Drosophila melanogaster: one gene and its partner. The gene in region 2 interacts genetically with the main gene of each other region. Each region holds a gene or a part of one and is shown on either strand. Other genes may lie near its edges.

Region 1 (7,627 bases), on a different chromosome or scaffold from region 2:
ATCTCTTGGCGCATTTAGAATTTAAGTTTTTTTTTTGCATTTTCCTTTTTTATTTTACGGTTTGGTATTACTTATAAACAAATTTCATATTATAGCTATAGTTTATTAGCTAGCGTTGTGTAACTTTCCTCCGCAGGGCCATTACTTACATTGTTAAATCGAAACGTTAATGCAATTGTTTTGTTGTGTATGTCTAACGCAATTTATATGCTCTCTATCTTAGTTACATGATTTTGTTGCGTAAACAAAGGGCTGCCCCAACTCCCAGCTCCCACATCTCGCATCCCATTTGCCCACCGCTCGGGAAATGCGCGCTTAAGTGTTTAAAAATCGGAAAGATATATATGAACACAGGCAGCAAAGTGCAGACCACGAAAGTATATATATATATATATATATATATATATATATATATATATATATATATATATATATATATATATAAATATATATATATAGATAGGGGAGTAGGCGGTACAGAAGGTTACATAATATAACATAGGAGGGCCTTATAAGTCAGAGCGTTGCTTAAAGCTAGAGAACTGCACGTGGTAATCGCAATCATTTTACCATCAACTTAGGTTACAATGTGGGTGCCTTGCTGTGTGGCATATGCTTTTGTATGGATTGGATTCGCTAGAGCTAGAGCCTATAGTCTAGGGTTAGGGACACTCGCTGAACGCGGTGTCCTTTGTTTCTTTTACACAAATATTACACTTACAATCGAGTTATTATGTGTTCATGATCGGTTCTGCATGTTCTGCCTGATTTGGTCTGGGACTTCAAGTTAACAAAGAAAAAGTTGAGCCGGCCAAGAGCAAATAGTCAAATGCAAAACAGAATTAAATGCCTGCGTGTCCTGCTAACCCTCCTCCCAAACCCTTCCGCGGACCCCTAATCAACCGCCGATCTATTGGCCAATCTTCAGGCAGGGATCTCAAATCAATTGAACAGTGCGGTTTGTTGCAGTTTCTTGCAGCCAGGTTGCAATCGTTTATGTTCTAATAGTATAAATTAAATTAATCATAGGCTAGTTAATTAATAATAAGCGCGCTCAACGTTCTAACATCTGGGAGCAGAAACCAAAATGTCAAAAAACAAACGAAAATGTACACACAAAAAAAGAAAAGCGCTGCGCTTTGCTATGCTCTGCTCTTCTTCTCTCACTGCTCTTGTCCTCCGTTTCTGGCAGGGACCTGGTCATCCTGCCGCTTGGATACATTCAACGTGTTTTACCGCATATATAAAGCAAGTATTATATATATTAGGTATATATAACTATATATACTACATGTATAGTTTGTTGAGTTCTGTTGTTGTTTGTCTACTGTGTCGTGTCCAGCGTCGCAACCTAAACGATAAAATATTATTTGGCGTTCCCCACGCCACCGCCCCCTCCGCCGCTCGGCATACCGCCTACGCCCACTCCACCGCCGCCACCACCGCCTCCCTGCCGCATCCGTATCGAAGGCCGACGCTCCGGCGTGTCGTACGGCGGTCTCGACGAGTTGGTGGCCGCCATCGAGTCGTCCATGTTGAGTCCGTTGCCGCCGATCAGTTGGCTGCCGTTACCGCCTCCATTGCCGCCCAGCATCGCCAGCGTTTGGCCGCCCTGGAGTTGCTGTTGCGCTGCACTGCCTCCTCCGCCACCCAGCGCCGCATTGACCTTGTGCTGCTGTTGTTGATGCGAGGAGGCGGCTGCCGCTGCTGCCACCGCCGCTGCTGCGGCCACCGCATCATGACCCGCCTGGCCGTCCGCTCCGTCCTGCGCCTGCTGAATCGCCTGGGGATTGCGAGGTCCGCCAAACTTAAGCAGGTTCCAGTCAAACACATAGTCGTAAGTGAAGCCCAAACGGTGGAACAAGTTGCGGAAGAGTTTGCGCAGGTGGCAGTAATCGGGACGCTGGTCGAAATGCATCTGGCGACAGAAGTTCAGATAGTTGACGAACTCGCTGGGGAAGCCCTTGCACAGCACCACAATCGAGGTGGACAGCTTCTTCTCCGAGATCCTCTCGTACTTTTGCCTCTTGTTGGCTGCCTTTAAGCCCTGCCAGGGCAAGGCGCCCAGATTGAAGTACATTAGGACGTAGCCCAGGGACTCCAGGTCGTCACGACGCGATTGCTCAATGCCCAAATGTGTGTTGATGGAGGCATAGCGGGCAGTGCCCGTGAGGTTCTTGTTTTCCCGATAGGGAATGTGCTTCAGCGACCGGGCATCGCGGAATTTCTTGGCCAGGCCAAAGTCAATGATGTACACCAGGTTGCCCTTTTTGCCAAGACCCATGAGGAAGTTATCCGGCTTGATGTCGCGATGGATGAAGTCCCGCGAGTGTATGTAATCGATGCGGGAGATCATCTGGTCCGCCAGCAGCAGAACCGTCTTCAACGAAAAGCGGCGTGAACAAAAGTTGAAGAGGTCCTCCAGCGAGGGTCCGAGTAGCTCCATCACCATCACATTGTAGTCGCCCTCGCTGCCGCACCAGATTATGCGGGGTATGCCTATGCCACCCTGCATCGTCTTGTAGAACTTTGACTCGATGTGCAGCTGGGGGTGTTTGGTGCGGATGCACTCCAGCTTGATGGCCACCTCCTCGCCAGTGTTGATCGTGGTGCCCAGGTAGATGTCGCCGAACGATCCCGATCCTATCTTGCGGCCCAGGCGATATTTGTTACCCACGCGCAGCTCCATTTTGTTACGTCTGTTTCTGTGGGTTTCTGTGTGGTAGAGTTCGGACTCCTCGGGTTCCTCGGATTTGCGTTGCCTTTCTGCGGGACCGGAGAATTGAAATTTAGTTTTAATTTTACAACACATTGCCTCGAAAAGAAGGCTGTACGCTTTTCTTACTCATAATACTACACGCTACACGAATTGATCGATCCCAGTTCAGATTAGCTGCGCTTAAAATATTATACAGATTTAAATATCTACGCCAAGGACTAAAACTTTTACTTTGTAATCGCGAAAGGATATTGAAAGGTTGCTACGATGCAGGCAAATTGTTGAATTCGATCAGAATGTAAATATTCGTAGTATTCTTAGTTGCTTTGACTAATCATAGAAATAGCAGCGGCGTCACAGGTTTTTACGAGTAAATATGAATCAAGTGACTTCGAAAATTCGGCTATTGACCACTAGCAACAATGTGTGATATTATTAGAAGAGATTATTTGCAAGCAACAACACAATATCGAACGCCTTGTTAGCGATAGTGATAAAATATTCGTCGGATTTTGTTTGCTACAACTTTTGATTCTTCTGACACTATATTGTGACACGTGATGACAACCCTGCTGTTTTGTACAGTTTGCTAAAAGTCTAATTTTGAGAGCTAACGGAGCTTCGTGAGTATTTTCCAACACTTCTCCACTTTTCTCACCTGGCACTGTCCTTTCGTCTGAGCTCCTTTCTTCTTCTTGTTCCGATTTGTTCAAGGCAGTCGCTTATGGCTTTGTATTCGAAGGGTTCTGTAATAGGAGGTACTAAGTTAATTTTTTTTTAGATCCTCAACATGGTTAATCGAAATTCGACCCGTCTCGCGATCACTTATATATAGAGAGTAATCCCCTGTTTTTATCGCATCTGCAGCGTAAGCCCGAAAAACGTGCAGAATTCGCTTTTGTTTGTGGTGATAAGGATTGTGGCACACAGACATGAAAACAACGCACGGCAACAATCGATATCGAAAATAGAAAACCGTTAGCTAAGAATAAAACAAGAGAGAGAGAGCGGGAGAGAAGTAAGCTTGGCTTACGTTGACAACACAAAAATAGCAGAGAAAAGCGTACCAAAAGCAATTCGAAATGCAAATGCACAGTGGGCAAAAATGATAAGAACCCGAACCTCGCACAAAGTAAAAGTTTATCTCGTATATTTATATTTAAGAGTGAGTGCGTCATTGCATTCGGCTGTGTGTATTGATTACGAATGGGGAAAACAACAGATTTAATAAGTGATGAGTAACGATAATTTATATGCACAGAGCAAAATAGCACTACTTTTTGACATTCGTCACATTATTGTTTTAGTCATTTTAATATTATATTGTACTATTATAAAATAAAGCAAATGTGCCGTAGTGCTTTTACATCCTTGAATAGATATAATTCTTTTTTTCAAGTGTATTTTTTACGTGACGACACCAGAAACATGGAGGTGAATCAGCAATCAGGAAAAGACAACGAAGAGATTAACAACAAATAGATAAAAGAGACGTGTGTTTGTGTATGCGTGGAGTAAACAATCGGCGACAAAAGGGAGAGAAGTAAAATAAAACGCAGCGACTGTGAAAATGCCACTTAAATGACACTTTCAGTGGTGGAAAGCACAAACAAATAGCGAAGATAAAGCGCATGGAAGTCAGAAAACGAAGCAACAAGCCGAAAGTTTTCACTTGCCGGTCAAATATCACAAAAATTTAGTTTAATTGTTTTCGGCGGCTCTCACTCACTAACCCCTTCCCACTCCTCTTTCCCACATTCTGTGCGCTTTCTTTTACCGCTCACGCATTTCGATCGCTCTCTCTCTTTCTCTCTCTCTCTCTCTCCTCCTTTTCCCGACTCTTTATCACTCACTCTGCGGTTCTAACCTCAAAACCTGCCTGTGTTTGTTGTTGTTTTCGCCTTGGCTTTGATTTATTTAACCGAAATGTACCGTTTTTTATTTGTATCTCCCATGTTCTACACAGAAAGAAATCACTGTATAAGCACTGTAAGTCAAATTGAAATGTGGTATTAATTTTAGGAGCTTTAATTTGTTTACTGGAAGGCTAGCAGGGAAAACGCGGTCTTTCCTATTGGTAACTAAATATTTCCCAGGGTATCCAGCAGTTGTTTCGGACCAGCGGGTAAACACGAATTGATTACAATTGCAAAACAGCTGCACGTTGCGTTGGCGGCTGCCGAAAAGCTTCCGCAAAAAAACGCACTGGAGAACAAAGAAGATACAAAAAACAGTTGTTCCAGCAGGCGCCACAAAAGTAAAAAGCTTAAGTAAACAGGGAAGAGCAAATGGAAAAACCAAAAACCAGAGCAAAACCAACGGGGAAACCTCAGAAGGGGAAGGAAACTTGCAATTAATTGTCAAACGCTAATGGCCTCCGAAAACTAACGGCACTCCACGAATGCACTGCGAATAACGGGGCTGATAAGGAGCAGCCGATAGCGGGTGGAGAAGGGAAACTTGAACGCACAGTGGAACAAATTCCGCACTTACCGTGGCTTGTTTTTCTTATATTCCTTGTTTCCTATTCCGCTTTGCCCACTTCCTCTGCTGGCGACGCTGCTTTTCCTTCTTCTAATTCGACTGAAATCGAAATCGAATTTTTTAATTGGATTGATTCTGCCACAATAATTTTCATTTTCTTTGTTTTAGAGCCCAGACGTTGTTTTTGTTGTAGTTGCCACAGTCGCACACAAACACACGCACACAGTCGCACTTTTTGGGGCCACACGCAAGCGCATTTTATGCAATAATTTTAATAATACTGCATTGCTGCCATATTTCAGTTATTTTTATCGTTTATCTTCGAGTCGGTTATGCTGTTCTTCTCTGATTTTATGGCCACATTGATTAGCATCTTGTTGCCAATCAACTCGAGAAAATTAAACGAAACCAAACGGAACTCGGACTCTTATTAAAAAAACCAAACTTATGCGAGTCGTTTGCCCTGGCAATAGATTCGTGCACACTAGTCGTCCCGCCCGCACTCGCACGGTTTCTACCGCGAGCACGTTGCTATCCCTCCTGCTTCAGCATTTTCACACCAACACAAAGACGAGGGCACTCACTCACACACTCGCACTCTCAATGAGCACTGAAATGCTGTTGGGAAATTCGAGTTTTCCTGCGCGTGGTAACCGCCGCTTTTTCGCTCGCAAACGGGTCTGTCGATCCGAAACGCTACTGACCACTTACGTTTTGCATCAACGCTGCGCTTTCGTTTCAATTTTTCTGGCTATTTCACATAGATTTCGACGATTTTTTACAAATTTACGCCATCTTGATATTCGCAGTGTGACCGCGCCGATAATGAAGAAAATTACCATCTGGTATTTACTCCTCAGCGAATGTCTAGAAGATATGTAATTGTGAAAAACTGTGATTCATATACTAAGTTAAGATAGTCCAAAGTTGGTTTCGAAGTACCACATTAAGAAAATAGCGCAAGAGTATTGGAAAATCAAAAGAAAAACGAAATTATATCCTTGCAGCTAGCCATAAGTTCAAAGTTCGAGTAACTGGAAAGCTGTGAAATAGCCAAGTTGACAACGCTGTTTTTGTTATATGGGCACACTAGTTCTTACATAGACCCAGTGCTGCCAGATGGACGAAAAATATTTTTGAGCTGCGCCACCTAGCGGATGAGTTGGCGAAAGTGGTATCCAGGTGGCGCCCGAAACAAAAGGTGGCGCCTTATTTCAGAAATGCAATTGAAAATATCTAAAGTTATTGAAAGTTTTTGAATTATGCATTCAAAGGCCCATCTGCTTAATTTTATTTTCAAAGAGAATACAATAAACAATACAAAAAAAAAAAAATCATTCTGAAATGATATTTATACTAATATACAAATTTGATAACTCAATAATATGTAAATAAAATTTATGTCTTAATTTGCAATGTTCTTAAGAAAAGTTGTTAACTCTTTTTACAGGCTTGTGCTCCAAATTCTCGTGTAAATAGAAATTGAAAATGGATTTCATTGGCATGTCTTGCAGTTATAGGTAGCATGCCAATTTTGATGTTACACAGATGTATCGAAATACCTGAAACGTATACTTTTATTGCAGCAATACGAATAAAGCAAAACACGTGTGAATTCCATTAGTCCGCCCAACCGCTTTCCCCATTTACCCTCACATCGTGCATTTTCCGGCTGTGTAACCCAAGAAACGATGACATAAAAAAAGGAAGCAGATCCAGTTATGTATGCATATATGAGAAAATGTGTTTTTTTTTTTTTGGGAGTATGTGCCAAGGTGTGTTTCTTTTTAAGTGGGGGTAGGGTAGATAAGCAATCACTCGAAAATGATAACAAAAAAAGGGGTGAAAAGAGTGTAACGATTCGATATTGGGGCTGGCAATTTAAAATGAAATATAGACAAAATAAATCACATTAATTGCACTTGCCTACGATTTTAATTTTCCATTGCTGTATTTATATACATTAGCCAGAATGCATTTTTTTTATGCAACTATAGAAATCTCCATTTTCAATTTATTGGTGAATCGTTCAAGATCTTCGTAAAAACCCGCCTTTGTCTCCCATTGGCTGGGAAAAAGAGAAAACAAAGCAATCCAACGAGGCAATTGAAGATACAACAAGTAAAACGAGAAAACAACTCGTTTAACCGCTCACACACACACACTAATTCAAAGCATATCTTTCCCACTCACACACGCAAAGACGTGCGATCGCCGACGAATGAAAATCGTCGTTATTTCGACCGATGGTCAACTACCAACAAATAAATAACGAAAAAAGTAAACCAAATATGTAGGTGCGAAGCAATAAAAACCGAGCGAGACGCGTGTATGTAAATGATCCATTCAAAGAACACTGTAAAAAAGTATGCCACATTATTGGGATACTAAGACAATTTATTTCCTAATTTTGTTGTATTTTTT
Region 2 (4,797 bases):
TTGACTATAGCTGTCACTGGAAAACTTTATGGGAAAGTTTCATTCAGGGATAATTAGTGAGACAAGTTTGTGTAGAAGCGAACGGATGGCAAAACAGACGATGAACGGCGATATCGACTCCACCGCTTTCCAGAAACTGATCAATAATTGATAAACCCCTGAACAAATTTTTAACTCAAATTTTTATAATATTTCCTTTGGGCCCAAACAAAACAAATGGCTGTCATGTAGGTGGCTTCCGATAAATTCGCTCACTCGACCACTGTTATTAAAAATATTTATAAGTTAACTTTATGAAATAAATCTCGTTTCAACATCATCCGAAATTGCATTTTTGTTCTTCTCCCAGACAAAGGAATTTTAAAATAAATTAAATCTGGTGCGGCTCTTTCAATTTATTTTTTCGTGATATTTGGTTCAGCTAATTTGCTAATAAATGTAAATGTAAATGCGAAGTCATATTACTTCATATTCAAGAAGAAAATTCTGTTCTCTTCTTATCTTCATGTAAGAAATTCACATTAAATACCGTGGAGGTCTGAATATAAATATTAATTTCATTGAATAAAGTTCCTCGTTAATATAAAAATGATTGCAAACCACAGTTGCTTGTAAATAAGTACCATAACGATATCCATATTTTTGAACACCACACCCAATCGTCTAATTGTTTGGCCCAATCGAAGCGAAATTAAGCTCGGTGGAGGAGTATTGTAAAGGATAGGGGAATGACCGATTTCTAAGGAGCCACATAATTAGGAGCCAAAATAATTATTAATTAATCAAATACCTTTTTAGTCAAGTGGTATAAAAACCCTAAATATGGGAAATCTATCATGAAAGGTGCACTTTTAAAAGGAAGCTGACTTGGAATCACTTCACATATGTACGGCCATAGAGCTCAATTCATCAGCGGAATCTTTTCAGAAAATGTGGGCACGGTAATCTAACTTTTTAATGGTTAAAGAAAAAAGATTTAAATGGTTGTAATCAGACAATCGTAACTGACATCCTATTCTACGCTTCTAAACAGTGGTCTCCTGCTGTCACAACGCACTATTAGTGATCATCTTCAAAGCGTGGACTTCCGTTTACGATGATTTATTTACTAACCGGGAACAATACAAGAGTAAACTTCTTTCGAACTGTAATTTTTTCTGTCCGATCACGCAGGCTGCCTTTCTGCGTGCTTATCGAGCAGCGTTTTGCTTTCCAGCAACTTTTAATTACAGATTAAAGTTTCTTATCAGTCGTTAACTGCAATTCAGGAACGAACTTTCATATAAACATATTTTATACATCTGTTCAAAATCAAATAAATATACATGTGTAAATATGTGTATGCATATTTTAAATACCTATGTACCTATGCTTGCATTTGTAAGCATACTTTCATCTATATGAAAAAAGGGCATAAAAATGTATAACAAATTCCATTACAGATGTGTGCAAACATGGATTGCAAGTGACAATCTCTGCAAATGCATATATGTATGTATGTATGTGTGTACTTGCGCATTCACATTAAATTTGGAATGATAACAATTGTTACATCGAATTTCTCAATACCTATACATAAAACATAATTGCTTTAGAGTTACAACTAGTTTTCTTATTTGCACATACAGTTTGTCAAGAAACTGTTTACACACTGTGAAATAAGTTGAATTTTTGACTTTAAAGGTAAAAACTAAGGGTTCTTTGCTTAAATTAAACGCAATTTTTTTCTAAAATATAATTAATCAATATTTATTTTACTTATGAATCAAAAAACGAATTAAAAATATTAATTATACAAGAAAATAAACAACAAATTCCAAGTTTACACACTTTTGAGACTGTCAAGTATATAAATATCAGTTTTCAACATTTATAATCACAATTATACTTTGCATTTCTTACAGTTTTCAACACCTTTAAGAGGAAAACGTAATTTGCGATTTGTTTATTACTTTATTAGCCCAAAGCCATATTTAAAATATTGAAAAGGTAGATGAAAGGATTTTGTACTACTAAAGTAATAGAGTGATTCGAACAATATTTGCTTTTAAGTTACATTTTTAATGGAGACTGTGGGTGGTTTTGGTAACATATGGCTTGCCAGAAAATGCGGTGAAGTGTAAATTAAAATGCTTAATTGGGTATAATAGGTCTGGTAGGATGGCCAGAAGGGGGTGGTCACCCAAAACAACCAAGTTTAGAAGCAAGCATAAACGACCCTGTAAAGTATATATATATATATATAAACTTGAGCAGGATTTCTTACCAAATCGATCTGGGCATGTCCGTCCGTGCCCACACTTTTGAAAAATGTTTGATATTTTGCATTTTTGTTATCAGTCAGATTTATCAATCAGATTTTACAATCTACCGATTTTTACGTCGCTCACTGTCACGCCCACACTTAAAAAAAATTTTGTGATTTTTTTTCATGTTATTATTTTTCTGGTCATTTTCCACTGGTATATCGAGAAAATGTAGGTGAAAGACGGGAAATGGTACTATAGCGTCTACATTTTCTATATATTCTATATTTTATATCAGCCATTGTAAGTTGAGCACGTATTATGCAAAGCGATATATTTTTATTTAATTATATCTATATTTAATTATTCTTTATTTTATTTTTGTCTTATGTATTAGATGAAAATTGAGAGTAGGTAAAGGTACTAAGCTAGGGTCGAGTATGTCGAAGTCCGATTATAATGAGATTATATTAAATACACTCGGCTTTGGCCTGAGCACCCATCGCTGGTGATAAAGAATCGTTTAAATGCATGTCTCTCACAATGTGTCTTCATCTGTACTTGTTTCGCTGTATTTGTATTTATTTACAAGACATACACTTAAATACTATGTGGCACAATTGTAGATGTGTGAGTTCTTGATTTATTTGAGGTATTTAAAGTGAGTGTTTTCACGTAATCCGGCTTAATTCGTAGACAACGTTCATTGTATTCGAATCGGTTTAATTCGCGGATGGTCTGTGTGTTTCTTAATCTAAGAAGTATATACAAAGTGAAATTGGACCAGTGTTGGTAAAGGTAAAAAATACATGTAGTAAAATAAAAATGTGATACAAATTGTGGCGTTTGCTATTCCCAGGCTATCCCTAAGGGGCCCAGCGTAATGGCCAGGATGAAATACAATATCGCTTTGATTGGAATCCTAGCTTCTGTGCTTTTAACAATTGCTGTAAATGCTGGTAAGTGCTACAAGTTAAGCTAACCATAAATTATTGAAATCTTGATTTTTATCGAATGATATAGATTATGTAAACTAAATCAAAAATAAATGAGCCGATCGTGTAAAAACATGGTTTAACTACTTAAATCTCTTACAGGAGATTTAATTATGAATGATTTTCTCTACTTTACAAAATTACACTTTTTATATTATATTGACTATAATACTATAAAATTTATTAGAATACAAAACTTCAAATTTGCTCCAAAAAAGTCAAAGTTATAAGGATTTGGAATATTCAAAAAAAAAAAAAAAAAATCAAAGTTTGACAAATGCTGTTTTTGCCAGTTAAACCGCAATGTCCAACTGGATTCTTTTTCAGTAAATTGTTAAAAACGGATAGCAAGAGAAATTCTTTTGCCAATAGCTCCGTTAAAAAATCATATATTTCATAAAAATCGTTTGAGTCCCATCAATCAAAACATATAAAATTAGAGGACATTGCACCTTTAAAACTCAAAATCATTGATAACGATTTATAGACCTTATAGATGGTTCAGGTAAATACATAAGTGGTAAAGGGGGAACCCAAATTTTAAAATTCTTTCTGGTGATACTAATATTTATTTGGCGACTTGGAGATTACTTTTCCTTAATTCATTCTATACAAACATTTTCTTTTTAATTTTAGAAAACGCTTGCAATCTAGGATGTCCAAAATGTAAGTAATACAAAAAAAGTATGTATTTATATACTAAACAATTTTATGCCACAGCTGACAATGGACTTTTGAAGTACATACCCGGCAACTACTATGACTATTCCTTCGACAGTATTTTAACTATTGGAGCGAGTAGCGACGTTCCGAACGACTCAGATGATACAAGTCTTAAAGTGTCCGGATCTGCAAAAATTTTTGCGAAAGGAAACTGTGGGTACACATTACAGTTAAGTTCCGTTAAGGTAACTAATACAAAAGAGTCTGTGGAGAAAAAGATATTGAACAGCATTCAGAAGCCAGTTCAGTTTACACTGGTAAGTGGAATTTTAGAGCCACAAATTTGCTCAGACTCCAGCGACTTGGACTACTCTTTGAATATTAAGCGCGCAGTTGTATCATTGCTTCAATCGGGAATAGAAGCGGAACATGAGGTTGACGTTTTCGGCATGTGCCCTACACATACATCAACATCGAAAGTGGGTAACGCAAATATAATTACGAAGGCGCGGAACTTAAACAGCTGTTCGCATCGCGAGCAGATAAACAGTGGCTTGGTGTCCGGCAAAGTTAACGAAAAAGCTGGCATTACGTCTAGCCTGCTGTTGCAGGCAAACTATATAAAGGAGTCCAGGATTGTAAACCACTTAATTGAAAATGTTCAGCTGACAGAAACATATAAGTTTATTGGAAATACTAAAAGAAACTCTGATATCAGTGCAAAAGTAGTCACAATATTAAAACTGAAAAATCCAAGCGGTACCAAGGCAAACTCACCAGGAACTGGTTCTACTGTCAGAAGCCTAATATTTCAGAGACCAGAAACCTATACCTCCAAAAATATTAACGCCCTCAAAACGATTCTATCTGATCTCGTAGATTCAACTGGCGAC

The links. A genetic interaction does not mean that the proteins touch.
Region 1: of Zyx (region 2) and dco, changing one suppresses a phenotype caused by changing the other (phenotypic suppression), as found in Drosophila melanogaster (one study listed by BioGRID).

The regions. Positions count from the first base shown.
Region 1 is NT_033777.3:31,055,163-31,062,789, forward strand, and holds the start of dco (discs overgrown), read right to left. Parts: upstream 6,049-7,627; 5' UTR 5,915-6,048; exon of another isoform or gene 5,303-5,914; 5' UTR 5,213-5,302; intron 3,481-5,212; exon of another isoform or gene 3,466-3,480; 5' UTR 3,378-3,465; intron 2,767-3,377; 5' UTR 2,690-2,766; coding exon 1,367-2,689; 3' UTR 1-1,366. UniProt on the Drosophila melanogaster protein: Serine/threonine-protein kinase which is involved in the circadian rhythm pathway, viability and planar cell polarity.
Region 2 is NC_004353.4:1,061,979-1,066,775, forward strand, and holds the start of Zyx (zyxin), read right to left. Parts: upstream 3,024-4,797; 5' UTR 2,845-3,023; intron 2,404-2,844; 5' UTR 2,267-2,403; intron 942-2,266; exon of another isoform or gene 700-941; intron 1-699. Other genes in the region: apolpp (apolipophorin), read left to right, coding at 3,130-3,205, 3,878-3,907, 3,962-4,797.